Linked DNA regions of Diceros bicornis minor. The protein of the gene in region 1 purifies or fractionates together with the protein of each later gene. This does not show direct contact. Links are inferred from orthologs where the notes say so. Each region holds a gene or a part of one and is shown in the gene's direction. Other genes may lie near its edges. The genes, in order: CRY1 and FBXL3.

Region 1 (16,108 bases):
ATAAAAACACCTAAATCCCAGTGCTGTGAAAGCAATGGAGTGTGCTGGGCAGCCCACAGCCTCCCGAGTCGGGAAAGCCTGGGTCTATTTCCTGCCTTTTCCACTTTTGAGGGTAAGTTATGAGAGTAAGTTATGAGGACTTAACTACTCTAGATCCCAGTTTTCTTATCTATAACATGGGAATAGTAATACCTATCTGAAATGGCTGTTGTGAAAATTAAATAAAATCATGTATCTAAGGTACCTAGCAGAGTGCCTAACATAGTCATTCTGTTTGGTGCATATTAAGGACTCAACTGATCTCAGATATTATTAATAGTATTTTGGGTATTTATCCACTCATTCATTTAATATATATTGTGGGATGTCTTAGAGTCCATTCAGGCTGCTATAACAAAATGCCACAGACTGAGCAACTTATAGACAACAAAAATTCATTCCTCACAGTTCTAGAAGCTGGAAGTTTGAGATCAGGGTGCCAACATGGTCAGGTTCTGGTGAAGGCCTTCTTCTAGGTTGCCAACTTCTCACTGTGTCCTCACATGGTAGAAGGGGCTAGGGATCTCTCTGGAGCCTCTTTTATAAGGCACTAATCCCATTACGAGGGTTCCACCCTCAAGACTTATGCATCTCCCAAGGGCCTCACCTACGAATACCATCACCTTTGGGGGTTAGGATTTCAACGTATGAATTTTGAAGGGACACAAACATTCAGGCCATAGCATGGAGCTTACTCTATAGAGTAGGGAAAGACATATTACTATGGACGGAATTGTGCCCCCCACCCCATTTCAAATGTCGGAGCCCTAACCCTCGATGTGACTGTATTTGGAAATAGGGCCATTAGGGAAGTAACTAAGGTTAAATGAGGTCATAGGGTAGAGATCTAATCCAATAGAATTAGTGTCCTTATAAGAAGAGGTACCAGAGAGCGCTTGTGTGCTCTCTCTCTCACTCTCTCTATCTTTCTCTCTCCTCTGTCTCTCTCTGCCATATGAGGACACAACCAGAAGGCAATCCGCCAGCCAGGAAGAGGGCCCTCACCAGAACCTGATCATATTGGCACCCTGATCTCAAACTTCCAGCTTCTATAACTGTGAGAAAATAAATTTACGTTGTCTATAAGCCACCCAGTCTGGGGTTTTTTGTTATGGCAGCCTGAGTTAAGTAATACACACTTGTAACCAAATAGATAAATACATAATTCAGGTAATCTTGAGTACTATGAAGAAAAAGAAAGCTGGGCAAAGGGATTATAGAATGATGAGGAGTATAGACACAGTGGACAGGGAAGACCTCCCAAAGGAGATGACACTGGGGCAGACACTTGAAGGAAATGAGGCAGGAGCTATGAGAACATCTTAAGAAAGAATGTTCCAGGCAGAGGCAACAGCAAGTGCAGAGTCTTTGAAGTGGGAGCATTCTTGGCCTGCTTAAGGAACAGCCAGAAGTAGAGAGTGGGAAGGGTAGGAAGGCAGGCCAGATCCCAGGGCCAGATAGCTTGTGTAAGGTCTTTGGAGTTTCTATAATATTTGGCTGGATTTTGTGGCAAACACAATTTTTTTAAATTAAGGTAATATTGATTTTCAAGTACAGTATTTCTTAGTCTACAAATCAGAGCCCAAAAGCAGTTGTCTTTATTTTCCTATCGCTAAACTTAGTTTTTGTCTTGAAGTCTCAGTCTGCTCACTGGTTGAAAACTGGTCTAGTTGATTCCAGGTTTTCTTGGTCATTTCAGGAATTTCTTGTCATCTTAAGTTTAAACTCAACCAATTCTGAAAAATATCTCCTTTCCTCTGCTTCTCTCCAGGGTAGCATTTAAGTCCCCAGATGTTTAGGGAACAATGCATCTTTAGAAGGAAGGGAGTTGATCTGGCTGTCATTCCTCACTTGCCTACACTGACATCTGCTGAATGTACAATCCTGTCAGGTCCTCAGATGTGTTATCTTTCCAAGACAGCATCTGTTGAGATGCCGATGTTCCCATCCAGTCCTTGGTCACAACCTCTTGTGACATTTTGCACCACACTGTCTCCCTTGGCAAAATCTCTTGGTTAGCTGGCTTTCTTTTTCAGCTAATTTTCACAGCCCTCTAAGGAAGAGGGGACATCTAGAAAAATCCAGCTGTTCTCTTAGCCAGCAGGAGGCTTAGCAGGGTTTCCCAGGTCCTCTCTGTCCAACGAATCCCTCATAGGCTGTGCTGGGCCACAGTAAAGTAATATGGGGACTTCTATGAGGGTCAGCCTCCAGATTTCAGATGGGAAGTTGGGCACAAGTCTTTTCTACTCACAGATCACCCTAAACTAATGTAGGATCTGGAACTAAGCCTGAATAAGGATAGATGAGACACTATCTTCTTATTTCAGAAAATTTATCTATTTCATTTTCCTTGCACTCATATCCCACCCCAGCTTAGAGAACTTTTATATAGTGTTGAGGGAAGGGATGGGTAACGGCAAATCTTTCCTGATTTATATCTGGATCAAGGCTCTTGAATTCGCAACAAAAGTGTTGGACTACCTTTGTCCTCCAATTCTACCCCCGAGGCAACAAAAGACCCACATCCAGTGACCTGCATAGGGATGGTCACAGGACAAAAAAAAGATGTGTGGGGAAAAAAACATTGGCTAATATTTCACAATATCATGTTGCCACATTTGTGACTATTTACATTTTCTAAATGCACTTGGTCAAGAAAAAGGATAAGAACAAGCAAGAAAACTGTTCGCAAGTACATCTTTCTGGACTCGATCAGTTAACGGATTCTATCAGTCAGTGCCCAATGAGGAGACAGAAACCACACAGTAAATCCAACAGGGAATGTTTCATGAAAAGAATTATTAATTATCACAGGAGATTAATTATAGAGTCGGAAAGAGAACTATGAAGAATACCCCAGGGGCTGGCCCAGTGGCGTAGTGGTTAAGTTCACGTGTTCCGCTTTGGCGGTCTGAGGTTTGCTGGTTTGGATCCTGGGCGCGGACCTACTCACTGGTCATCAAGCCATGCTGAGGTGGCATCCCGCACAGAAGAGCTACAACTCTACAACTATGATATACAACTATGTACCGGGGCTTTGGGGGAAAAAAAAAAAAGAAGAGGGAGATTGGCAACAGATGCTAGGGCAGGGCCAATCTTCCTTAAAAAAAAAAAAAAGAAAGAAAGAAAGAAAGAAAATACCCCAGGACTGAGGGAGAGTACCCAAGGAAGGACAAACTTGGAAGGGAGAGGACCAAGGGTCTTCCCCAAAGGTGGGATTCAGAGCTCATCGGAGAAGGTGTGGTTGTAGCAACTGGATAGTGAAGAAGTTGACTGGGTTGCCCTGGGCCACAGCTGGTCTACCCTCACCAGGCCAAGGCTAGTGGGAAGAAAACCGTGGTTGGGAATGGCCACAGGCAACACCTGGCCAGAATGCAGGTGGGCTGAGGCAGAGTAGTACCTACTGGGATGCCTGCAAGACTCACTGGGCGTCAACCAGCAGGGATGCCACTGAAACTTGGTAGAAGTGAGCTCCACAACATGTCCCTCCCCCAAGCACCTCTGACAGTGGTGGAGTAGGAGCAGAAAAAGAAAACAAGCATTCCAGAACCAAGAAGACAAGCCCCTTCCTCCTGCGGTTTTCCTCCAGCGCCCTCTACTGACAATGTTTAACACGGTGCCAGCGGTGATAGAGAAATCCTTATCCCTAGGGTCTAGTTCCATTAACATAGAATAGGCATGAAAAGTGAATTTGGAGCTGAGAGGCAATAAATTGATAACTGACATGTGGATGAAGTACAGTGTTTATGTGATCAACTGGGTGTTACCATGGTCTCTGGAAGAACATTTATTGAGAGTCTGTTGAGTACCAGGCACTGTGGCACGTGTTAATGATATAATAAAGAACACAAATAGACTCAACTCTCTACCCTCCTGGAGCTTGCATATGGGGAGGGGGCAGACCTGGATTGCCCAATAATAAGTAAGCAAACAACCAAAAAATACAGATCACAATTGGTGCTATGATGAAAGTAAATAGGGAGCTATGATAAAGACTAAGAAGGGCCCCTTTTCTAGAATGAGCAGACAGGGAAGACCTCTCCTGTTACCACCCAAGGGTGGGGATGGGCGGGTCATCCGCCCATCCCAAGACATGCCGGTAGTCAAGAGGCAAGGTGGTAGGAGAGAAGAGGTTTTTTATTACAGCTTGCTAGCAAGGGGGAAGATGGCCGACTGATGTCCGAAAGAACCGTCTTCCAGAACAAAGACTACAGGCCAGTTATATAGGGGGCTGGCCTCCCAGTGGGCGCATCCATCTGATCTCTGGGTAGGGGCAGACATCTGGCCTTAGTTACTGATGGTCTTTTGTTTTACTGGATATGTATCAGAGACCGGAGCAACGCCCTACACCCTGATCTTTCAGCTGTCGTTGATGATGGCTATCAGCATAGACTCTCTGCCTGGGAGTCATCACGTTCCTAAGGAACTCAAAAGAACAAAGTTATCAACTTATAGCAGCTGAGAGGGGCCACAAAATCTGCAGAGCATATCTGGGTTAGTTATCAGAGGTCATTCCAAGTTACAATATGGTTTCTTTTCTACAATATGGCTTCCCTTGTGTCAACCTTGTGTTAAGCCAGTATCACTCCAAGAAGGTGAGAAAAATTATGAATGACTGAAATGGGCAAAAAAATTACTAGGTCTCTTCAAGTTATTCTCTGCCTGTCATTATCTTTAAACTATTTTACAACTCTTTAAATCGTAGATTATTGATAGCAATGCAAACGAATCTTGTCCATGGACACGCACATGGATATTGTCCTCTGAAAGTGCAATTGATTTCCCTACCCTCACCCCTTTGTAGAAGAAGTTAGTTTTGCATATAATAAGAAAATTCATTTTTAACATTCCTCATGGCCTATATATGTAACTGCTCTTTGGAATCTCCTTTTATTCCATTGTAACATCTTACTGGTTCCCTCATTAATTAACAAGTTAAGTGAAATCTTTGACATGTGTTCATTTTATATTCATATGAGAGTCATAATTTACCTTTTTAAAAAAATAATGATCCTTTAACACATCATATAAATTCAATCCCCCAAAGACTCTAGTGTTGGGGATCACTCAGCCAAGGGCTACCAGCCTAATATACACATCACATCAAGACTGAATGAGCTGGGCCGGCCCCATGGCTTAGCGGTTAAGTGCTCACGCTCCGCTGCTGGCAGCCCGGGTTTGGATCACCGGCGCGCACTGACGCACCGCTTGTCTGGCTGCGTCCCATGTACAGCAACTAGAAGGATGTGCAACTATGACATACAACTATCTACTGGGGCTTTGGAGGAAAAATAAATAAAATTATAAAAAAAAAAAAAGACTGAATGAGCTGATTGCACTGTCTACCCCTTCATTATGTGTTTGTTAATAACATGTCAAAAATCACCTCTGCAAGATGGGGTCAAGAGAGAACACAGGCTTTCAATTTAGAGGTAACACATTTTTATCAAGGGCGCTCATGAAATCAAAGAGATATTGATTTTTCTAACATAGTTGGCAGTTGAAAGAATGTTTAACAGGACTCTTCATAGATATTTTTGAGCCCATGACAGGGTTGTGTTCATAGAATCCTAGAATTTTAAAATAGTATAGAAAATTTAGAAATCATCTAGTTCAATCGCCTCCTTTTATAGATAAATTAATCAGGCCAAGAAAGCCCAGGTGATTTGTTCAGGATCATCAACTAAATGGTGAGCCGAGAGAAAATTCATTCTCTTTCTCTTAGTCCCATACTCTTTCTACCACCATGATGTTGAAGTCAACCAGAATATCACAAGAGATTCCTGACAACACTCCCCATCTTTTCCTTCTCCCTTCATACATAAATACTCACTCTGAAAAACAAGGGGAGTGGTAGTGTGAGTGAGGAATAGTATATGATAAAGAAAGAGCTTGGATTCAGAAACAGTCTTGGTTTTTCACCTAGTTTTACTACTTATTTGTATTTCTGAGCTTTAGTGTCTTTATCAGCAATGTGGGCATAAGTTATTATTAAATAATAATAAGCTGCCTCAAAAGATTATTATTAGGGTTAAGAATAACCTATATAAAGTGCCTGGCACATAGTAGGTGCTATTATTAAATGGTTACTACACCCCCATAACAAAGATATATTAAAGTAACCATCTGTATGCCATAAAAACCCTTCAGTCTTTGAGGAATGCACAGTTGACAGTACTGATGCTTTTATAATAAATTAGTACTTTTATGTGTAAATGAAACTTACACACACACCCACATACAGCTGTCAAAAAAATTCATCTTTATTGAATGAACAATCAGCAAACATAAGTCAACTCTACACCAATCAATATTGTCTCTCTACCTCCCACTGTTTCATTTGGATGTTTGAAAACAATTCTTATGTCTTTAGACACAATCTGCTTACTTTCAAACTGCCTAAAATGAAACATGAAACAATGTATTTTTGTTTTTGTGAGGAAGATTGGCCCTGAGCTAACATCTGTGCCAATCTTCCTCTAGTTTATATGTGGGATGCCGCCACAGCATGGCTTGATGAGCGGTGCGTACGTCCACGCCTGGGATCCAAACCCGAGAACCCCAGGCTGCCAAAGTGGAGCATGCAAACTTAACCACTATGCCACTGGGCCAGCCCTGAAACACTGTATTTTTAAAACTACAATAGGCCTGGGAATATGAGGCAATCCAAGTGAAGGCACCACAGGAATTTATTGTCTCACAGTTTTGGAGGCCAGAAGTCCAACTATTGGCAGGGCCATGCTCCCTCTGAAGGTGCTAGGGAAGGATCTGTTCCATGCTGCTTCAAGTAGTTCCTTGGCTTGTGGTAGCATAACTCCAATCTTCACATGGCATTCTCCCTGTGTGTGGGTCTGTCTCTGTGTCCAAATTCCCCCTTTTTATAAAGACACTAGTCATATTGGATTGGCCCACCCTAATGACCTCATCCTAACTTGATCATCTGTAAAGTCTTTACTTCCAAATAAGGTCACAGTCACAGGTACTAGGGGTTATATGAATTTTAGAGGGACACAAGTCAACCTGTAACAATTGCCATATCCTTCCTCCTTGTAACCTTGCCAAACACACTGGTGGCAAACAGATTCATTCATTCACTCAATATTTGAATACATGTGTCAGGCTCTATACCAGTGTCAACTTAAAAAGCAAATTTGCCAGTTATTTTACCCTCAAAATAAGTTTATTTGAGAATAGCCAAAAGAATTGCAATTCAGGATGTGCATGCAATGGCAAACCATAGGCAAATTCCGAGAACAAAGGAGGAGAGCTTGCTTTCATAGACAAAAAGGGGGAGCAGGGAGGGGCTGTTCTAAACAAAGTCCATTGGAGAAAAGTGACAGTTCAGGGGCTGTAGCCAGGTGGGGAGAGAAATCTTCCTTCAGTAGTAAAATAGTTGTACTTACTGCCAGAGATGCAAGCTATGTCTCTTCCTGAGTAACTAACCATGTATGATAGAGCCTGAGAGCTCCCCCTACAGACCTTCCCAACTTTAATTTAGTTAAGGTTTCTCTTATTCATTTCACACTAGGTATTGATGATGCAAAAAACAAATTGGACAAAAACTCTGTCCTTGAGAAGTCACACTTCTCAAGTTATCATAATGCTATTATGATAACTATTATGATAATAAAAACTGATATTTAGCACATATTTTGTGTTAGGTATTAAAGTAGGCATTTTTCATTTAATCTTCACCATAGTGTGATAAGTGATGCATCAGAGACATGCCTGGCGAGATGGGGGTGGTCCTAAACCCGCTTTGGAGGACAGGAATATTTCCACAAATTGGTAGCACTTCATCTGAATCTAAAGGGATGTGTAGCAATATACCAGGTAGCTCAAAGGTGATTGTAGTGATTCTAAAGAAGAGCATTTTATGGAGGAAAAATCAGCATGTGTAAAGGTTAAGAGACAGACTGTAAACTCCAAGAGGGCTGGGATTTTTGTCTATTTCCCTCTTGTATCTCCAACACTTTGAACAGTGCCTGGTTCAATAAGTAATTGTTGAATTAATATACGGGCATCACATGTCTAAGGCATGGCATGGACTGAAGTTCATTGTCGCTAGAAAGGTAGGCAAAGGCCTCATCACGAAGAGCCCTGTAAATCGCACTTAGTGCAAGAAATTAGGGCTGACATGTTGATGATACACAGACAGTATAAAGGAATTCCAGGGATGCCTGGCACCCACCCTGCCAATTACCCCTCTTCCCCAAAGCATGTCCAAGGGTGTCGCGCCGCGAGGGCCAGAAGAATGGCAGGGGCACCAGCTCCACACACTCAAAAGTAGGGTTCTCTGGCTAAAGCTGGATTGAAGCACACGGCTGGGCTCGAAGTCTAATGGAGCTTCCTACTCTCCTCCTTCCACCCCATCCTGCCTCACTCCCCTCCCCCAGCTTCCCCGCCGCCGCTTGGACGACACCACGTTGTCTCCAGCCCTTCCGCGAACCCCATGGTAGGAATCCCCCAGCGCACTCCGGCCCGCCGGCCCCGCCCTGCCGCCCTGCCGCCCTGCCGCCCTGCCGCCCTGCCGCCCTGCCTCCCTGCCTCCCTCTCTGCCTCTCTCCCTCTGGAACAGAGTGAGAGCGCACGCGCGCCCTCCCGAGCCAAGCGCGCGTCCGCGAGCTCCCCGCATCCCCGTGCTCATCCGGGTCTCAGCGGGCCTCAGCCAATGGTGGATGCTCACGGCCCCCAGAGGCGGAGCTAAGCCTCCCCTCACAGGGGCCGTGTGGTTACCGCGGGGGCTTCCAGGCCACGGCGACCTGTCGGCCGAGAAAAGGAGCAGTGGCAGAGAGCCCAGCGTCTGGGCGAGGATCGACGGCTCTGAGATCAAGCGGCTGCCGCCCCCTAGAAGCGACTGAATCATGAGCACATTCCCCAGTCAGAGCGGCTGTAGTAAACACATTTCAGAAACGTGAGGTGCCGGGGGTCACGTGGGGACCGCGCCCTCCAATGAGGATCCGGGGGCGGGGCCGAGGCCGCTGACGCGGCGGCGGCGGCGGAGTCACCCGGGCAGCCTCGGGACCGGTCACCGGCCGGCAGCCGTCCAGCGGCCTCGACCACCGCCTTCGTGCTCCGTGCTGCGTTCTCACTCCTCTTTCCCGGCCCGAGAGGCAGCGTGGCCGACAGCTGCTCAACCGTCTCTCGTCCCTCTCGGAGGCTCGCCTCCGGCGGCCCGTTTTCTCTTCAGGCGCCGCCTCGGTGGGGCGAGGCTTCCGTGACGAACCCGCAGGGGCCGCGGGTGCCGGCTCAGGCCGTCGTGGCGGCTCGGGCTCGTGGAACTTGCTCAGCCGCCGGAGGTCCGAGGCCCTCGAAGTTATGCGTCTGGTCCGCGCGGTTGCGGCCGGCGCCGGCTCCTAAAGGGCGTCACACCGGACTCCGCCGCCTGGGTAGCCTCCATTCATCTTCCAGCAGCGCCTCCAGCGCCCTCTCCCTCTCGGGTCCCCTCCTCGGACTCATTTTTTCCTCTCCCCGCTCTGCCGCCCTCCCCTCCCTCCCTGGGTGCGGCGATTCTCCTGGCGGCGGAGGTGTCGGTCATGAGCCGGACCCTCCTCCCCTGAATTTCTCCGGGAGGAACTCGGCGTCCGCCGCGCCCCGGGATGGGGGTGAACGCCGTGCACTGGTTCCGAAAGGGGCTCCGGCTCCACGACAACCCCGCCCTGAAGGAGTGCATCCAGGGCGCCGACACCATCCGCTGCGTCTACATCCTCGACCCCTGGTTCGCGGGCTCCTCCAATGTGGGCATCAACAGGTGGCGGTGAGTCAGAATCCCGTGGGAAATTGATTTCGGTGTTCACTGAATCGGGACTTGACACGCGATCCGCCCCATCTGCGAGTTTAGACCTGGGACCGCCTTGCTTATGCTGTTTTAAGAGTGTGGGTGCTTTAAGTATTAAATAGAACAGACTTACTAGCTCCCTGGCCCGAGCGTGCTGGCAGCCTGGAGCACCCAGGCCTTCGTGTGTGAGTTACGTGTCTCTGCGCTAATGGCAACTCTTCCCCTGGATTTATGGAGACTTATTAGTGGTGGAGTGAAAGAAACTCCCTCCCAGTCCTCAGTGGCCCGTGGATTGATTTCCTTGGCCTCGTTGTGGCATTCGAAAGGATTGCGGGTTTTAATGTTTACGTTTGTGTGTGTCTAGGTAACTCATAGTAGGGAGAAAATCATTCATTCAGTACAGTTGCCTCCAAATCCGTATTTCTCCCACCTTGAGGTTGCTGTAGGAAAAGCAAGGGAAACGGCATTGTCTGATTTCTCTCTGCCTAGCTCTTCCTCTCAACTCCTCCTTGTGGTTGATTAGACAAAGCACAGTTTTTCTTTCCAGGCAAAGTATAATCCTTCTACGGATCAGAGCCCTGGGAGAAATCTTGGAGAAGCTTTATGATCTTTTCCTGAAATATCAGGCTAGATGATTGTTAGGCCCCCTGGTGGAAATGAAAGCATTCCTTCAGTGGGTAGATTATTGATCACCTGCTGTATACCAGGCACTGCTTTAAACACCAGGGATATAGAGTGGAATGAAACAAGCAAAAATTCTTGTCCTTTTCGAGCACGTGTCCCAGGAAGTGAAATATATAGTATTTGGTGGTGATAAATGCTGTGGAGAAATACAGAGCAGAGAAAGGGGATAAAGAATACGAGGGAGTGGGATTAGAGTTGCGATTTTAAATATGGTGATCAGGAAAAACTCAAAGAAGGTGGCAATTGAACAAGGTGATGAAGCAGGTAATAGGTTGTGGGTATCTGGGGGAAAAGCATTCCAGGCAGAGGGAACAGTAAGGGAAAAGGCCCTGAGGTAGAAGTGTGCTTATAACCTTTGGAGGAAACAGCAGAAGAAGCCAATATGACTGGAGCAGAATAAGTGAGAGGAAAAGTAGTAGATGAGCTCAGAGATTTAATAGGCCCAGAACGGGTAGAGCTTTATAGGCAATTGTCAAGATTTGGGCTTTTACTCAGAGCAAAGTGGGAATAATTGTAGGATTATGAGCAGAGAAGTGACTTGATCTGACTTAAGTTTGAAAAAAATTTCTCTGGCTTTGGTTCTGAGAACAGAGTGAATTGGGGGTGGAGGGGGACAAGAAGCAGGGAGACCAGTTAGGAGGCTGTTGCATGCATCCAGACGAGAGATGGTAATGACGTGGACCGTAGTGATAGTGGTGGACTTGGTGCGAAGTAGTCAAATTCTGAGTATATTTTGAAGGCAGAATCCACAGTATTTATTGGCAGATTGGATATGTGGTGTCAGAGAAGGAATCAGGAATGATTTCAAAAGTTTTTGGCTTCAGGAAGTAGAAGGATGGAGCTGCTCTTTGTTAAGAAAGTGAAGTCTGTCAGAGAAGCCATTGGGAGGGTGATTGGAACTCTCGTTTGAACTTGGTTAACTTTGAGATGTTGATGACACATCCAAGTGGAGATAGCAGATAGACAGTTGAATGTATCTGGAGTTCGAGACAGAGATCCAGGCAGAAGGTATAAATTGGAGAGTCATCAGTTTATAGATAATATTTAAAGCCATTTATTCATCTATTTATTCATTGAACAAATATTTGTCATGCACCTACTACATGCCAGGCACTGTTTTAGGTTCAAGGCATTTAGCATAAACAAAATTGCTGAAAAATTCCTACCCTGTTGAAGCTGCATTCTAGCAGAGCCGTGAGACTGTGTGAGAACATTAAGAAAGTGAGTGTAAATAGAAAGGAGAGGAGGTCCAAGGACTGAGCCTTGAGTACTCTAATGTGTAGAAATTGTGGCACTGTGGAAGAACCAGCATAGGAGATTGAGAAGGAACATCTAGTAAGAGAAGAAGAAAACCCATAAGAGTGTGGTGTCTTGGAAGCCAAGTAGAGAAAGTATTTCAAAGAGAATGTTTTACCTACATCAAGTGCTGCAGATGGGTGAAGTGAGATGAGGACTGAAAATTAAAAATTATATTTAGCATTTTGAGGTCATTCATAGCCTTGACTAGAGTGGTTTCAGTAGTGTCAGAAGCAAAAGCCTTTTGGCATGGCTTAAGAGAGTCTGAGAGGAGAGCAGTTGGGAGAGAGCTCGGATAGACAGCTTTTTTAGGGAGTTTTGCTGTAAGGGGATCAGAGAAATGGTCTGGTACCTGGAGTGGGATGTGAAGTCAAGAGAGGATTTTTTTTTAAGATGGGAAAAATTTTAGTATATTTGTATGATGATGGGAATGATACAGCAACTATATATAAAACACTCTTTTGGGGCCTGCCTGGTGGTGTAGTGGTTAAGTTCCCGGGCTCAGCTTCAGTGACCGGAGGTTCGCAGAGTTGGATCCCGGGCGCAGACCTATACACTGCTTATCAAGCCATGCTGTGGCAGGCATTTCACATATAAAGTAGAGGAAGATGGGCACAGACGTGAGCCCAGGGCCAGTCTTCCTCAGCAAAAAGAGGAGGATTAGCAACAGATGTTAGCTCAGGGCTGATCTTCCTCACACACAAAAAAACACAACACTCTTTCATTAGCAGAATTAGTGTCATTAACGTTGATTTTGGAAAAAGATGATAAATGTAATATATTTTAATGTATTAATATCTTAAAATAATATAATAATTCCCTTGTCATAAGACTATTCGGAGGATTAAATTAGTTGACAAATGTAAAATGCTTAAAATGTGAGTAGTGGGTAGTAAGTGCTTGTTTGCTATTTGCTGTTAAATTGGAAGCCCTAGGTAAATAATATCTAGTTAAATGTCTGCAGTCAGTGTCTTCTAGAGCAGTTTATAAGTTTATAAAATTTAGACTGTAAGCTTCTGTAGGATAGGGGCTATATATTGCTTAACTTTATACACCCAGCAACTCACATTGTCAAATAACGGGTGAAATAAAACTGGTAAGCACAATAGGAATAGTCCCATTTTTTTCTTCTTTTAGAGGATATTTTGGGGCCGGCCTGGTGGCGCAAGCGGTTAAGTGCGTGCTTCGCTTCAGTGGCCCAGGGTTTGCGGGTTCAGATCCCAGCCGCGCACCAGTGCTCTGCTTGTCACGCCATGCTGTGACAGCATCCCATATAAAGTAGAGGAAGATGGGCACAGGTGTTAGCTCAGGGCTGATCTTCCTCACAAAACAAAAAATAAAGGATTTTTTTTAACTACTAAATATTGCCTTTTCTAAAAGATAGATAAAGATATAAATGATGAGTAGAGACAGACTGTTTTCTTCCACTGAAGACTGTTATAAAAAGTCAGGAGCAGAATTTTATTTTTGTGCTTTTCATATAGTAGTAGCTCAGTTATTGTTTGTTGAATCCTTAGCTTGGCATTCAGGCTGTCGTGGGTTTCTGTCTTCTTTCCTTCATGCTGTTTCCTTTAATCAACAACATTTCCTAAATTTTTGGATTTAAGTGAAAAGCAAATTAAAAAAAAATTATTTTAGCTAAGTAAATTAACAAAACTGCCTTTTGATATTGCCATCATTTCATTTAAAAAGGATGCGTTAACATTAAAAAAAAAAGTTTGAAGGACATTGATGCAAAGTAAAGGATGGTCCTTTGATTTGAATAAAGTAAGTGTAATGAAAACTGACTTTGCCTCATTTGATCTGAGACCAGTGAAACTTTATCTTGGATTTGTCATCTTTGGGATTGAATGATTTAAAATATTCCTTCACTTACTTCTTATTAAAATTATACCACACAAAAATTTATACACGAATGTTCATAGAATTTTTATTATTCATAATAGCCAAAAGGTGGAAACAACCCAAATGGCTAAACAAAACATGGTATATCCATACAATGGAATATTATTCAATCATAAAAAGGAATAAAGTACTGATACATGCTACAACATGGATGAACCTTGAAAACATTATGCTAAATGAAGAAGCCAGTCACAAAATCCCACATATTATTTGATTCTGTTTATATGAAATGTCCAGAATGGGCAAATACGTAGAGACAGAAAGTATATTAGTGGCTTCTAAGGGCTGGGGAGGTTGGGGGAGTTGGGCAGTGGTAGCTAAGGGGCACAAAGCTTCTTTATGAGTTAATGAAAATGTTTGTAGAACATTTAGAAGGTGGTGGTTGCACAACTCTGTCAATATACTAAAAACCATTGAATGGCACACATGAAAAAAAAAATCTGCTTACCCCTGTAAGGCCCAGTCTAAATGCCATCTTTCCTATAATACCTTTCTTTATCACCTTGTCTGGGGTGATTAACAGTCTTTTGAACTCTTATACCATTTTTCGAGATTGCTTTTCACATCACCGTTAGTATTTACTTCTTTTATTTGTATAATTGATATGGTCCTCATATATTTATTTCTCCCCCATTTAACAGATTGTACCTTTTCTTCCTGAAGAGAAGGTACCATTTCAGTCCATTAAAAATTTATTTTGTGTTCCTGTCATGGCAGGCACTATTTTTGTTACTGGGGATACAACAATGAATAACACAGAAAAAGTCCCTGTCCTTGAGGAGCTTCTAGTCTAGGAAGAGAAACAGACAAATACATAAACATAATATGTCAGGTGGTGGTAAGGTGGTAAGTGTAATGGAGAGAAATAAAGGAGAATGTGAGAACAAAGACCAAAAGGGAGGGAGGAAACAGACTAGGCACATATCTGGGGAAGAGCCCTCTTTGTATTCTCCACAATGTCTAGCATTATGTCTTGTACAACGTAGGCATTTAATAAATATCTTTTTAATTTTCTTTGTAAGTCTAGGGTTTAGGAGTGGGGCAGTTACTTCATTTAACTAGATGCTTATGTGTATCTTTTTTTTTGGTGAGGAAGATTGGCCCTGAGCTAACATCTATTGCCAATCTTCCCCTTTTTGTTGAGGAAGATTGTCCCTGAGCTAACATCTGTGCCATTCTTCCTCTATTTTGTATATGGGACACCGCCACAGCATGGCTTGATAAATGGTGTATAGGTCTACACTCAGGATCTGAAGCCACTAACCTGGACAGCCAAAGGGGAGCGCTCAAATTTTAACCACAGCATCACCAGGCCAGCCCCCTGTGTATATTAAACTCATAATTCAGAAAAATAATTCTCTGGGCTGGCCTGATGGTGTAGTGGTTAAGTTCACACTCTCCGCTTCGGCAGCCAGGGGTTTGCAGGTTCGAATCCCCAGTGCAGACCAATGCACGGCTCATCAAGCCATGCTGTGGTGGCATCCCACATATAAAATGAAGGAAGATGGCCACAGATGTTAGGTCAGGGCCAATCTTTCTCAGCAAAAAGAGGAGGATTGGCAACAGGTGTTAGCTTAGGGCCACTCTTCCTCACAAAAAAAAGAAAAAGAAAAATAATTCTCAATGAATGGATTATTTTTAATATCTAAACTTCAATATGTTTATTTCACAGTTGATGCTATCACATGTAGAGTCTGAATTTTCAGTAACCAAATCTATACATGTACCTACATCCTTACCCAGTCTTTCCTTCTATTATATAATTTAAGTGCAAGAGATATTGCTTTCCCTATTCAAAACCAATCTCTTCATCTATACCCCATTTTAAAAACTTTGCTTGTATTTTTTCCAGCTTTATTGAGGTATAATTGACAAATAAAAATTGTAATATTTAAGGTGTACAACATGATGTTTTGATATATGTATACATTGTGAGCTCATTTTTGAGTATTTTCTCTCACCTTTTCTTTTAACCTCTTTTTAGGTTGCTTGCAATCAACATTTAAACAGGCTTAAATCCAAGCTCTGTAAAAATGAAAAAACCAACAGAGGAACAAAACCTCCCCTTGACTGTGTTCGTCTCCTGCAACTATGTTTCTCAGTGGCTTTATAGCCAGACTTTAGGAACAAGATGTCTAATACTGGCTGACTTTGTTTCTTTCTCTTCTGTTCACCCTCAAACCCACTCCAAACTAGTCTGGTTCCACCTCCACCTACTCCACCGAAACTGTTTTCATCCAGAGGATGCTTTTCAACTTTTCATTCCTTGACTTTTTGCTCTGACACATTTGACCACACCTTCCTCTTCCCTCTGCTTTAGTTAGAGGACCCTCGTATGTTTTTCTGCCAGAGCTGTTAGTGTTCTTCCTTGACTTCTCTTTTTCTGTTCAGCTCTTAAATGCCCCT
Region 2 (15,073 bases), on another chromosome or scaffold:
ATATTACTAGACAGAATCATTCTTGATTAATGGCAGCTATGGAGAAGATGCCACACCCACCCCCACTCCCCGACACAGGACACAGTGGAACCAAATTCCACGATCACCTTTCAGTTAAAGGGAAGCATCATTTGAGACCCAAAGAGGAGCCTTTCCGGGTCAAGTTTGCACTGGTAAGCAGTTTTTGTTGCAACCAAAAGAAAGCAAATGCAAAATAACTTCAACAAGCAAGAAAAAAATGAAATCTCTGGGATCCCTCCAGGCCTGGGAATAGGGTAGAACCAGGGCTGTGGACTCTGGCTCCATCTCTCCTCTAGGTCCTCTCTCTGCATCTATTTTGCTCTTCTCTCTCACTGCAGAGCACTTTTTTCTGCTTTCCAGACTAGGTAGTAGCAAATGACCACCCGTAGCTCCTGGGTCTATATGTTACAAGTCCAAGCACCCAAGGAAGGGACTACTCTCTTTTGGTATTAATTCCAAATTCCCAGGGGAGGGACTGTCTCAGCTTGGATGGCGTGTGCATTTCTGGACCAATCAACTGTGGACAGGGGCCAGATTCATGTGCTACAGGAAGCCATTACTAAACCAAGTAGATGGGGAGGAGCTTCCCCCAAAAAGAGCTGCCAGGCAGGCAATTGAATAGGTGTCCACTACAGGGCCATAGCAGATTTCAGTCCCGGGAGAGAGTTGAACGTGTTGACCTTCTAATTATGATTCTATCTGCTTACTAACTCCTGGCCTTGTGCTTTTCTTGCCACCTGGATAGATTGCCTCTCTTCTGTCAAATTTCATTACTTTCTTCAAGATTTGATTCAAAACTGCCCTTGGTGAATGAATGAGCTCTCCCTGTCTATCCCTGTTCCACCCTGCATCTCATGCCCTCAGCACCTTTGTATACAGTGTTAGTCTTATTATAAGGAACTTATACATATTTATACAACTGTTTTCTAATTTCATTGGAGGATGTTATCCTTTTAGACAGCTATCAAAGTACAGAGGAGGACCGAGGACTTTCCTCCTCTGCAACCACAAAGCACTTTGTAAACAGTGGAGGAGAATGAGGAGAAGGAGGACGAAGAGGAGGAGGAGGAGGAGGAAGAGGATGGAGAAGAGGGGGAAGAGGAGAAGGGGGAGGTGGAGGAGGAGGAAGAGGAGGAGGAGAAGGAGGAACTTAGTAGCTGCAGTTTCTTTCTCCTGTGTTCTATTAACAGATTTCCTGTTTTCTGTGAGGACGTTCCCCATTCCTTGTGGGACTCGGGAAATTGGTGAATCATAAAAGCACAGATTCCTTGTATGATCTGAGTCCTCTGGTCCATAATCAAACTTACTTATGACTGCCCTCTCGTCACCATCCCATTCACCTCTTAAGATTCTTTCCTCCCCTGTAACATCTAACTGCCATCTACTCCCCATGACAGATTTATTTTAGTCACAACATGGCTCAAGTCCAGGACACTATACCATAAGCTCTGTCGTGTCGTGTTCTTTCATTCTTCAAAGAAACATTTACTGAGCCAGGAACTGTTCTACGAGCCTAGGATCTGTGAATAAAACAGACTAAGATTCACATTTTCATGGCGCTTTATTCCTCTAGAATATACGGGGAGACAGACATTAAACAACAGACGTACAATACATAATATGCTAGGAGGTGATATGTGCTGTGAGGAAAAAAAATAGGGCAAGGGGGCATTGGAGTGTTATTGTCATGGTTTTCTTTATTTTTTGGTTTTAGCGGTACATTGTTGGATTTGATTAACTAATATTTCTTTTCAAATTTTGCAGCTATTTTCAAAAGGGAAATGGGGCTACAGTTTTTTTCTTTTCCATATTTGGTTTGGTAATCGTGATTATACTAGCTTTATAAAATGACCTGGTGACTTTTTCTCTTCATTTTTTCTCGAACAACTTGTATAAGAAAGGATTAACTCTTAGTTGGAAGTCTGGTAGGGCTCACTTGTAATTCTCTCTGGGCCTGGGGTTACTTGGACGAAAGGGCTTTGAAAATTACTTCAGTGCTTATTGATCTGTTCAAATTCTCTACTTCTTCCTGCCAATTTTGGCATTTTATATTTCTCTAGGACTTTATTCTTTTTATCTAGGCTTTCCATTTTATTGGTTAATAATTATTTATAACATACTTTTATTATTTTAAATACCTGTGGTGGCTATATTTGTTCCCCCTTTTAAAAAGTATGTATTTTGTTAATTTGCAACTTTTTTCCCCTTCATCAATCGGACCAGCGTTGTATCTACCTTATTCACTTTTATTTTAACCAGGTTTCGTTTTTGATCTTCTCTATTTATTTTTTTCCTATTTTATTGATTCCTGCCCTTGTGTTTGTTATTAAATCTCGTCCAGTTATCTACTACTGGAGGACAAACTACTCAACACTTACTGGATTAAAACAGTAATTTATTATTGTCTCTCAGGGTTCTGTGGGTTCACTGAGCATTGCCCCCTGAGGCTTTGTCTTCCTAAAACATGAGACTGGTTCTTTGGATACACTGTCCAAAGAGTAAGCATTCCAAGAGACTCAGATGAAAGCTTTAAAGTTTCTTATGGCCTAGCCTTGATTTAAAACATCACTTCTGCCTCATGCTGTTGGTGAAACAAAGCCCAGGTTTAAGGGCAAGGGAGTAGGACTTCACATCTTAATGTGAAGAGCAGCATTTGCCTATGGGAACGGGAGGAATAGATGATAGCCATCTTGTAAGCTGTCACTATAATTTCTTTCTTGATGTTTCACATTTTTTCTGTTGCTTTTTTTCTCCTTTCTTTTTTTTAACTTATTGAGGTAAATACTTGGCTTTTGTTAAATTTTACTTGTTTCTGGATTACTATATTTAAAACTAGGAATCTCACTCTAAGTGTCAGTATAGATGTTTTTCACAACCACTGATATATATGGTATTTTCATTATTATACAAGAAAATATTTCCTTAATCTTGGTTTTCATTTACTTTCTAACTCATGTATTATTTTAGTTATGTTATTTAGTTTCCAAACAAATGGCATTTTTAGCTCTCCCTTTGTTATTCATTTCTAACTTTACCACATTATGTCTCACAAACATAGTCTGTATGATGCTAATCCTCTGAAATTTAAGTTTATTTTGTGGCCTAACATATGGTGTATTTCCTGAAGTGTTTTATTTCTCTACAGTGACTTTTTGCAGTATAAAATTCTACATATCCAAGAGCTTAAAGTTATTAATTGTGTTGTTCAGATCTACAATGATTCTGCTTATATTTTGCCTGCTGGATCTATCAGTTTCTGAGATTGGTGTGCTAAAATCTTCAACTACAGCTGTGGATTAATCTCCCTCTTCCTACAGTCCTATCAGTTGTTGCTTTTGTTACTGAGCAATGGGCTCGCTCTGCTCGCAGTGATCTGAGCCAATCACTCACAATGAGTTAAGGATGGAGAAAGGAAGCTTTAATTTGATTAACCAGTATAATCAGGAAGATGGCAGGCTAATGTCTAAAAAAAACCATCTTCTAGGATTACAGAACCTTGAGGTAGTTATATAGGGAAAGTGGGGAGTAAGGAGGGGGTTTAGAAACGTCAGCTTTCAGGCATGATGGGCTCTAGGGTCTTTCATTGTTCTTTTCTTCTGTCAGTGATGATGGATATCTTGTAGGTGTGTTTCCCACCTGTAGTCAGCCTGTTCCTAGAGAGAAACTCATAGAACAAAGTTTTAATTTATCAAGTTATAGGGGAGTACGTATGTAAGTGGAGGCCATAAATCAGGAGAGCACGTGAATTTTTTTAGAGTACATGCAGAGCAGTGAGTAGTCACACAGAGGAGGGGCTGGGGTCATTTAGCGTAACAAGGTGTACTTACTAATGTTTACTTACACTTTGTGCATTCTGTACATTGTAAGGTGCATATATGTTCATGATGATACCATCTTCTTGCTCTGTTTTTTCTTTTATTAATGTATCTTTTCCCTTATGACATTATTTGTATTGAATTCTATTTCATCAGCTATTAGAATTATTACTAAAGCTTTCTATTAATTCATTTATTTTCAATTCTATATATACTTCCCATCTAGTTATTATATATTTATATTAATCATATGTATGTTTGTGAAATTCATAAAAAATGATTATTTAAAAACTAGATGGATATAAAAAACAAATTAGAAATTTCTGGAATGGAATTTTCAATAGTTGGTATAAACTCTAGATTGCAGACAGTCAAAGAGAAAATCAGTGAGGTAGAAGATAATATGTGATATAGCAGAGAGAGACAAAGAGATAAAAATATAAAAGGGCAATTAAAAGACGTAGAGGATGAATTGAGAGGAGTGAGTGTGAAGTCCTTAAGACCAAAATAGAAGGATTGATGGGAAAGGATTATTTGAAGAGACCGTGACTTGCACAGGGACAGGAGATGAGTTTGCTAGAGAAGTTGTAACTGACATCCCTGCATAAAGCAAGAATTTTGAAGATCTTTATCCTCCTCAAGGAATGGTTGGCTTACGGCACAGGGAGATGAACAGTAAACTAATCTGTCTTAGCTCGGGCTCTGAGTTAGAGAAAAGAAAAGACTTTTTAAGAATTCATAACCATGGGCTTGCCCTCACACAGGTTGGCCCAAGAACCCAGAAGTCAAGAAATTATTATACAAATTGTTCCAGGCTAGTAACGCCCTGCAGCACCCAGCAGAAGAAAACACAAAAGACCTCTCTGGAGTGACATACCCTCAACAAGGCTGCACAGGATTCCTACAGCTAAAGCTTCACAGATGAACTCACAACCCAAAATCATAAAATATGTGAGTAACAACCTACTATGAGAAAACATTTACAAAAATTGGCATTAGACCCTCAATTATTTCATATAATTAAAATGATTAGAGAAAAAAATAATTAAAAACAAGAGAAAAGAACATCAAGAAAGATCAGGCAGATATGAAAAAGAACCAAGTCCAACTTTTAGAAATAAAAGTTGGCAGAGATTGGCTTAACAGAGACTAAACAGAGCTGAAGAAAGAATTAGTGACTTGGAAGACAGATCTGAGGAAATTACAGAGCGTTCAGTAGAGAAAAATAAAGACACAAAAATATGAAATTAAGAGATATGGAGACAATCTTCCTATGCAAAAAAATTCCAAATAATTTATGTAGACATTACTCCCTCAAGGAGATAGAGATAACTCCCCATCCCTTTAGTGTGGGCTGTACTTAATGACTTCTTCCAAGGAGTATAGTATGGAAAGGAAGAGAAAAAGTAACTTTACAGTGGAGCAACTTGACCTCAATCTCTGATTAATATTAACATCAACAGGAATAAGTCCTTTTGGCATATACCCTTGATGTGATATGATGAGAATGGCACTTTATACATTTGTGATCTTCCTCCCAAACACTCATAACCTCATCTAATCACGAGAAAAACCAGAGACAAACCCCAAATGAGGAACATTCTACAAAATACTGGAGCAGTACTCCTAAAAACTGTGAAGGTCATCAAAACAAGGAATTATAAGATAGTGCTTAAGGAACTACTCAACACAACCTAATCTATTCTGATCCTAGAGTGCCAAGGTGGGGGTGGTGGGGCCCATCCTGGGTGGAAGGGGTACACTGTCTGTGGAGAATTTAACAACAATAATAAAGCTGACTAAATGTTGGTTTGCTTTTTATTATCACATGCACTGGCAATTCTAAACAGGGTTGGTAATAAAATATTCTTTCCTCTTGGACCAAACTACTCCACAGCCACCCTCCCCCTTCCGCCCCAATGCCACAGATCTTGACTAATATAATCGATAAATTAAATAAGTATTGACTGATTCAAAAATAAGCATGTTTCTTTTTTTCTAAAAGGTGAAATAAAATCTTTAAATAACAACAGGGAAGAAGAGGAAGCATTCAGTAAATTGTGCCAAGATCCTTGTCTCCTTTAGGGAGAGAACAGACTGTAACGAGAAATTAAAAAGTGACAACAATTGGAGTGTGAAAGTTTTAATGTGATATAATATCTACTAGTTATATATGCTGATTTCATTTAACGTGTTTTGCTGATCCTTTATACTGTTAACCTACCTTTAAATAAATGGGCCTGTATTTGACTGACTTGTTTTTCTTCCTCTAATAACTATCATTGCCTGTCTTAGAACTTCCTACTGTCCTTTGTCATTAGTCACTGAGGGACCTAAAAAAATATTGCAGTTCAGGTACATCCACATTATTATGTTGGTAGAGACTTGTTTAGCTCGACTTGATGATCACAGAGCCAGGCCCTAACAGAAAGTACCAGCAATTTCCCACACTGAATCTTAACATAATTTTACACATGGCTTCCTACCTCAGTTTGGGGTTGGGGCGAGTGGAAGACTGGAGAGCTCACTGAGCATCACTGCCTTCCAGTCTCTTACACATGGCTCAGATGGTTGAGAAAACATCTTTGAATAGAAAATGTCTTCTTTCTTATTTTTGAGGGAGGCAGGAGGGATGGTGCATGATTCAAGTTAGAAATGGCTTTAAGAAAACCCAGTATCCAAAAATCCAAAGTTTTAAAAGTTAACTAGGTAGCAGTCACACCCAAAGATGCCTGAATGTACAAAAGGCTTCATCAGAGGTTTTATTTTAAATAGCCATCTATTCCTTTGCACTTTCCTCAATGTGTTTCAGAAAGCTATGTACAAATTTCAGGGGTCTATCTATGTTATAATCGTGGTTTTTAAAAAGTAATAACTCCGATGATAAAAATCGTTTCTAGAAAAATTGGAAAATACAAATATTGTAAATATAAAATTCATCTGTAATCCCAGCGTTAACATTGTCACCATTCTGCTATACTTCTCCGCAGTTTTAAAAAACACCTCATGGATATATGATGTGTGTACTATCTTTTTACAGGCCGTATTTGAACTCCTTGGGTTACACGGCGTGGGCGTGGCCATCCGAGGCCGCCTCTCCGCGCGGAGGTGTGTCAGCTGTCAGCAGCTGCTGTCGATCCTTCTGCCCCTGACCCAACTGCTGGGCTACAGCAGGCGCCGGGGACACTGCTTCCTTTCTTCCTTCTGCTCCACCTCCCTAACTTTCCATTTCCAGCCACACATAGTCTCAGGCATCTAGCTAGCTCCAGCCCTCCCACCTTAGGCTGCAAAACGAAAAATCCCCTAAAAGCGGCAGTCACGTCGCGGGGAGGAAGGTGGCCAACGCTCCTTCTGGAAGCGGGAGGCGGAGGCCCCAGCCGCGCCGCGCGGCGCGCGCTCCCGCGTGGGCGCGGCCCACCCTTGCTCTCCTCGGGCGCGCCGCGGCCGCGAGCCCCGGGCGCCATTTTGGACTCGGTGTGCGGGCTGAGGCGCAGGGGGCCTACGCGGTGGCCGCGGCTTCGTGAAGGAGCCCCCTGCGACGACGAGGGGTCCCGGGAGAAGGACGCAGGGACTGAGAAGGACGCTTCCGCCTGGGCAGCCAGAGCCGCAGAGGTGGAGCCGCGTTGGCGCCCGCCCCGGGACCAGCGCCTCGGATGCGGGCGGAGCGCGGGGGTCCGCGGCGGCGCGAGCGGGACGCGGGGGGCCCCGGGGGTCTGATGTGAGAGCCGCGGGAGTAGCTGCCGCCGCCGTCCCCGGAGCCCGGGGCGGTGTGTGGGGGAAGCCGCCCCCGGCAGCAGGTAACGGCAGAGGGGCCGGGCCGGGGAGGGTCTGCCACCGTCGTGGGCAGCAGGGCGGGCCGGGGTCCTGGGGGCGCAGGGGCTGGGCTCGTGCGGGCCGCCCCTCGGGAGCGGCGGGCGGGGCGCGGCGCCGGACCTTGGAGCTGGCCTGGGGGCGTTTCCCCGCCGTGCCTGCTTCAGAACTTGTCAACAAGGCGTGGGGCCGTGCGGCGACCGCGTGCCGCCGCCCGCGACACCGCCGCGCCCGGAGCCCGGCGTGTCAGCCTCGGCAGGGGCTGCTGACGGGCACCGCGGAGCTCGCGCTCTCCGGGCTCTTCCCCGCGTCGTCTGCGCCCGCGCTTCTAGCTTGAGAAGTGAGGGGCGTCAAGATGTCAAAACAGCCTGGCCAGGGTAGGGCGCCGGAGAAATGTCAGGGAAAGCCAGTCCGTGGAGGTGGCGCAGGGAGGAGGGGCCGCCCCGGCCGCGTAGGCGAGTGGAAAACTTGGTCAACTTGTGATGGGCAGCTTCGCGCCTGCTTTTGGCATGGGCAGCCGTCTCAGGTGGGGTTGCAGACGAGATCAGGCAGCAGACTATTAAATGATTGGCTTGCATCTCCCAGCTGAGAGGGGACATTACTATTATTTTGCTGCTGCTGATGTCCAATCGAATGGCCCAGATCTTTTCATTAGAGTCTTTTTCCTATTATCCCTGAAATATTTCTGAATATGCCATCGACTCCCAGTTATCTACAAATGACCAGTAGACCGAGTTTCACCATCACACTCTCCCTACCGTCTAGTTCTGAGAGTTAATCTCTTTCCACTGTTTTATTCTTGTATTCCAGCCAAAGAATGCATTTTAATTTTGATATTAGTCAATGCAGAGCATAAATGGAAAGGAAATGTGATGCCAAAACAGGCTTTTGAGAGCTAAGTGCAAATGGGCTTTTAAAATTACTACATACTACAGTGTACTAAAAGTGCCTAACACAATGAGGGACACACAACTAAGTGTTCTCTTCCGCTCTTCATCTGATGAGCAAGTTGACCGCGCCTTTCAGAGTGTATGGAAATGTTCAGAGTTTGTTCTGTAGTCTCTGCTCATTAATTTGCTTTTTGGCGCTTTGTAGTAATATCAGTTCTTCACCAAATGCTCTCTTGCGTCAATTACGTATATGGGGCCCGGAAACGTTGCAGTTTAAATTAAACTGGGAGCCCTGAAGGGGCCTGGTTTTGGTGCTTTAAAATCTTATTGACGTTTGGTGTCCAGCTTTCTTCTCTGCACTCCTCCTGTTCAAATCTAAGAGGTGTTTTCTCTTTGACTTAATGTAAGGGATAAATAGTCCATTCTTTGCAGAATGGTGGATGCTCTGAATTATTTAATTTTCTGTACAGCAGAGCTTCATGTGTAAATATACACGATAAAATATTTTTGAAAGCAGTGTAACTTTTTGCATGAATAAATGAAATCATCTTGGAAAAAATTGACATTTAAAAATTTTACCAGGTGCCCACTTTCTGTTATTTTCATACATATGTGAGGATAATATAGAGATCATTTTTATTGGCATTTGGCCTTACATTTTTTTCTATTGCTTAATATACTATAATTCTGACATATTACAGTCATATTACATATGACAATTTACAGACTTTTGTTCAGCTATTCATAAACTAGTAAGTGCTTAAAATATACTTTGGCGATCGTATAGTCTTATATCTAGACCAAGAGATAGTATTCCTCAGTGTTGCATATTTCTTTTTAATATGTTCACTTGTTTCTCCTCTCAACTTGGAAAAGTATTGAAATATACTTTATTTAAAACAGGGTTGTAATAGACAAAAGAAAGTATCTATTGTTAGGATCAGCAAAGATAATTCTGTGAATAAGATTGTCATTTTATTTTGTTTATATGTCCATATACTCCAAAGTAAAATGAATCATTCCGTCTTTAAGTTGAATAGTTCTGGGTTTAGAAGACAATCAGCAGAAACAGGCAATCAGCCTTCTATAATAAGGAGTAGAAATTATAAAGATGGCTTCATTCTTTTTTGAATCTCTGTATCTCAAAATTCTGAGTAGTTTTAGATAATCAGAAGAGAAATTATAAGCCCTGGGTAGCAAACTCTTTGTTCTTTGACCCAAATTTTATATGCTAAAATTAAAGTAAGCCTTCAGAATAAGTTAAAGCAGAAAAATGGCTCATAATGACAGTGTTATCTCAACCTCTAGTGGGACGATATTACTAGGAGAGATTTCTTTTTTTATATTGAAGACTGTGTTGTAGATTATACTACCTTTTCTCTAAACACATTTTAAAAAATGTATTCTTAGATTCACATGTAAGTTTTAGTCTTCCATAAAACTACCCTCTTGCTGTCACTTCTTCATTCTGTTTTCTCCCTTCCTCTCCCAATAGGATGTACATCATTTACTTCACTTAACTCACATAGTTGGAAGTAGGAGCAATGAGGAATAGGCAGTTTATTGCACATGTACTAAAACCTCCTGGGCTGATTTTAACGGCATGAAGGCCAAGGGCCTCTGCCATTCTATTTCCCTGCAGCCACCAATCCTCTTTCACAAGTTTTGCTAGCTACTGGATAGAGAGAGAGTCTGCAGAGACATATCTGGTTGAGTCGTGCATGTGCACATCCTTTGTCTCACACACAAATCAGAAATTGTTATATGCTAATGTGCCAGAAGAAGGGAGTTGGAGCCACAAGCCATCGTTTTCAAAAGCTATGACTCCAAATCCAAACCACTACCCTGCCGGAACTGCTCTCTAGAGACAAAAGAAAAGTACTGCAGAGTCTAAACTAAATAGGAGTGCTAGTGAGTGGTCTGCAGTTACCCCACTTCGTTTAGAGCCTGCACTACTTATTTTTCCAAATAACAGATCAAACCCCACCTTTTTATCTGATTATAATGTAATTCATTGACATTAAAAGAAACCTGTAAAATATAGAGAAGCATATTGGCAAAAAAAAACAAAAAAATTCACCTGTAATCCCACCACTATTATGATCTCACTATTAGGAATATAATATAATGCCACTCACTATTATAGTTACCATATTAATGTGGTAAATTCACTTTCAATGTTTGTTTCTCATACATGAGCGTGTGTTCTCGCTCGTTCTCACGCACTCACTCTCTCACACACACACTTCATTTTAAAACAAAAATAGGATCATTCTTTGCCTCTTGGTTGGTAACCTCTGTTTTTACTGTGTTGTGCACTTTAACGTCTTTAACATTGGACTGCTTTCCTATACCTGAATTCAACAATCATGTATCTCCTTTCAAAAGCCCTAATATTATTTAATTTCTTGCATGAACCCTGTGTGTTATTATCTCTGTTATACAAACTGAAGCCCAGGAAGGTCCAGTAATGTGTTCAAGGCCACATAACCAGTGAGAGGTAGAGCCAGGCTTCAGACTCAGGGAGCTTGATTCCAGAGCCTATTCTCTTTAACCATACTACTGTTTTTGCAACAAAAAGACTATTTTCAAAGAAACAAATGGAGTGAAGATAGCACAAATACATAAAATAGAAACATACCTATCATTCAGAAATACAACTTTGGGAAAACATTGTAACAGTAAGAGATGTGTTGGAAGAAGAAACCACATTTCAGACCAAACAATGCTTATTTTTAAGCAGAGGTTGGGTCTGGCAGCAACACATAGCACAGGCTGTTGAATGTAGAAAGATCTGTCAGCTACTTAATTCAGATCCTCTCTGGAGGTTCCTGGAACTCTGGTCTGCCTTGAATTCAGGAACTCAAATACATATAGCAGGTATGGTTAGATGACTCTTAAGAAACCTTTAAAAAGTGTCACTGTAGATTCTCTTTTATATTCGTTTTAGTTAGTTGACTACAACTTTTGAAATATAAATTCTTTGTTTTGTTTCAAAATCATGATAAACTTTTCCCCCAAGTAGTACAGTATAAATACAAATGTTTAAAAACACTTGTATAGAATTTATAAAACAACGATTGGTCTCCAGTGGCATTTTTCATTATATTTTGTTTTGATATTTTTCTTGAATAATTGGTCCAGTTCTTCCTGCACATTTGCATTTGTATTTATAAACACATATATACACATCTCAGTGATAGAAGAATGAATTTTGAATTTATTTCTATTCAAAAATTATGAAAAAATTGCCTTTTTCTGAATAGGATGAAACGAGGAGGAAGAGATCATAATTCATCAGAAGAAGGGACTACAGAGAAATCCAAGAAACTGAGGACTACAAATGAGCATTCTCAGACTTGTGATTGGGGTAATCTCCTTCAAGACATTATTCTTCAAGTATTTAAGTATTTGCCTCTTCTTGACCGGGCTCATGCTTCACAAGTTTGCCGCAACTGGAACCAGGTATTTCACATGCCTGACTTGTGGAGATGTTTTGAATTTGAACTGAATCAGCCAGCTACATCTTATTTGAAAGCTACACATCCAGAGCTGATCAAACAGATTATTAAAAGACATTCAAACCATCTACAATATGTCAGCTTCAAGGTAATACTTTAAATCCTTCTTTTAAAAAATAAAGCATATTTAGTGGCTCTTGTGTCCTAAGCCAGTACATCTTCTCATGTCTTTAAAATAATGCTTTTTTTTTTTTTTTTGCTGAGGAAGATTAGTCCTAAGTTAACATCTGTGCCAGTCTTCCTCTGTTTTGTATGTGGGTCGCTGCCACAGCATGGCTGATGAGTGTTGTAGGTCTGCATCCAGGATCCAAACCTGTGAACCCAGGCTGCTGAAGCGGAGCATGCCAAACATAACCACTACACCATGGGGCCAGCCCCTCCAATAATGCTTTTTTAGAGGAAGTGCTTAAAGACTTAGAATTATCATATACCTTAGAAGCTGTCACAAATGATTATATTTGATCTAAATTACTCCATTTTATTATAATTATTAATAATTTCTTAAAAGAACAGAAGCAACCACTAAATAAGCATAAATCGTTGACCAGAGCTATCAGTCACATTGAATTATTGTGAACAGATTTGAGGAAAAAGAAATATACAATAAAATAAATTAAAAATGTGGAGATTTTTTTTTTTTTAAAGATTTTATTTATTTATTTTTTCCCCCAAAGCCCCAGCAGATAGTTGTATGTCATAGCTGCACATCCTTCTAGTTGCTGTATGTGGGACGCGGCCTCAGCATGGCCGGAGAAGCGGTGCGTCGGTGCGCGCCCGGGATCCGAACCCGGGCTGCCAGCAGCGAGCGCGTGCACTTAACCGCTAAGCCACCAGGCCGGCCCAAATGTGGAGATTTTGATTGCTATCTCTAATAGGGACTGAGTTTTTCTTATTGATGGCTTTATGATACGAGATTTTCAAAGAAAAAGGAGATATAGAAACCATGTAAAAAGTTTAGATGAATACATTTTAGAGAGAAATAGAAAAAGGTACATGGAGAATGCCAAAGAGAACTGTTTGTTTCTTTCCATTGCTAGAAAGGATGTATTGGAAATCATGCAATGATGACATAAGTCAAGTGGGGTGGCTTTTTGAGATGTCCGGAAGAGTTTAAGGAATCACGGTGGTTTGTATAAGTACAGGGGCTGGTAATGTTTGCGGGATGAATAATGGAATGTGGACATGTTTACTAAATCCTTAACACACTTGATAATTATTGTTGAAAAGTAATGCATGAATATCTGATTTTCCTATATGTAGCAGTTGTTAAACAGATCAAGTTAAACCTAGATAAAACAATGGTTCTTAACCCAGAGTTCTTTGCCAAAACTAGTCTTTTCTGCTCCCAAGAGTACATTCCTTCTTAGATGGAGATTACCTGTTTATTCTCCCATATATGTGCCTGAGCAGGAGGAGAGACCTGGTGATGGGAATGGTTGGGTGTATTATGGCCTTCTTCCCAGCAAAATGCACAAAGGCACTTAAGCCACTGGGAGTAGGATTGCTAGGTTTAGCAAAGAAAAATAGAGGATACCAAGTTAAATTTGAATTTCAGATAATCAATGAATAATTTTTAGTATAAGTATGTCCCATGTATTATTTGGGACATACTTAATTCTTATTTAATTGTATGTCCTCTATGTTATCTGGCAACTCTAACTTGCAGCAAGGGTCGGGGAATGAGGAGAGGATCCAAACAAACAAAAATCCAGGAACTTCTCATGTGTTGCCCCTCCCCCGACTCCCTTTGGTTTCAGTCATCTTTGAGTTGTCTGAGAGTGTTCTAATGGTAAATTCTATAAAAAGATGTCTAATATGTTAATCTCATAGGTGTAAAGACAATTCCATACAGTGGATTGGCTGGGTCACTGTTGTTCTTTTACAGCCCTGTGACACTATTCAGCTGTATCCAACTTGTATAACCCTCATAAAACCATTTGTCCTGTAAGTTTAAACATTTTTATTAGGAACTGTTTATTTTCCTGAGGAGGTAATTTCTGATTTGCAAAAAGAGCGACATCACAGGATTCTTCTGGGCTCTCCTGTTAGTATTTGTGTTTAATTCATCGCTGACTGTATGCCAAAGAGGCTTATAGTCAAAGTTATTAGTGTAGATCAGTGATTCTCAAACTATATATGAATCTGAAACACTTGGAGTGCTTGTTGAGCCAAAGATTGCTGGGTCCCACCCCTAGAGTTTCTGATTCAGATGGTCTGGGTTGGGTGTGAGAATTTGCATTTCTAACGAATGCCCAGGTGATGTTGATGCTGCTGGCCCAGGGACCACACTTTGAGAACCACTGGTTTAGAGAAACTTAGCCAAAAGATAATATTATAAACAGCTCTGAAACTGTAATAGAAAGCATATATCATTTTTACAACCAGCTCTTCAGAACATTTTTGGGTTAAGGTAATGTACATCAATCTGGAAATTAAAGTAATGATACTACCTTTAAATGTTCTATTTTAAGATGGTTTTTAGCCTAGGGAACAGCTTGCTTTTTGATAGTGCTGCTTATATCCTTGAGGAGTTTTTTGGCCTTAGCCCAAGATATGTCTATGCAGAAGAGTGTGTAAGAGCAGCTACTTCTCATTTGGTTCAGATTTTCATGCTTGACTGGTTGGAGGCCCTCATTTTACTTCATATTCATCTTTCTATTAATAACATTAATAATGAATCCCAGGTTGTGATTTACTTGAACCTTCTGAGTAAATGTTCATTTTCTGGTGTCTTGAAACGTGTATCACAGACACTGTATTTACATGTATGATTGGATCTACTACCAAATATATAATTATTTTTCAAAGATTCTAAATTCATGTATTCCATTCCGTTATGTTGTCAATTTGGAATAAATCAACTTAAAAGCCAAGTCCTTTCAACATTAAATATATGTCTTATCATAACGAAAGTTAAGTCTTAATAACTGGCCTTATACGTCTCCAAGGGGACTCAGAAAAGGCTGACATTGTATATCATAGTGGATTGAAAGAATAAATATTAATTCTTTAAATT

The links.
Region 2: the proteins of CRY1 (region 1) and FBXL3 purify together in Homo sapiens (affinity purification with mass spectrometry; 4 studies listed by BioGRID and IntAct, counting the BioPlex papers as one, with this or other methods). This does not show direct contact. The link is inferred for Diceros bicornis minor from reciprocal best matches to the Homo sapiens genes CRY1 and FBXL3.

The regions. Positions count from the first base shown.
Region 1 is NC_080764.1:17,164,186-17,180,293, forward strand, and holds the start of CRY1 (cryptochrome-1), read left to right. Parts: upstream 1-8,804; 5' UTR 8,805-9,638; coding exon 9,639-9,796; intron 9,797-16,108.
Region 2 is NC_080748.1:56,523,657-56,538,729, reverse strand, and holds the start of FBXL3 (F-box/LRR-repeat protein 3), read left to right. Parts: upstream 1-7,013; 5' UTR 7,014-7,633; intron 7,634-11,802; 5' UTR 11,803-11,803; coding exon 11,804-12,145; intron 12,146-15,073. UniProt on the Homo sapiens protein: Substrate-recognition component of the SCF(FBXL3) E3 ubiquitin ligase complex involved in circadian rhythm function. Plays a key role in the maintenance of both the speed and the robustness of the circadian clock oscillation.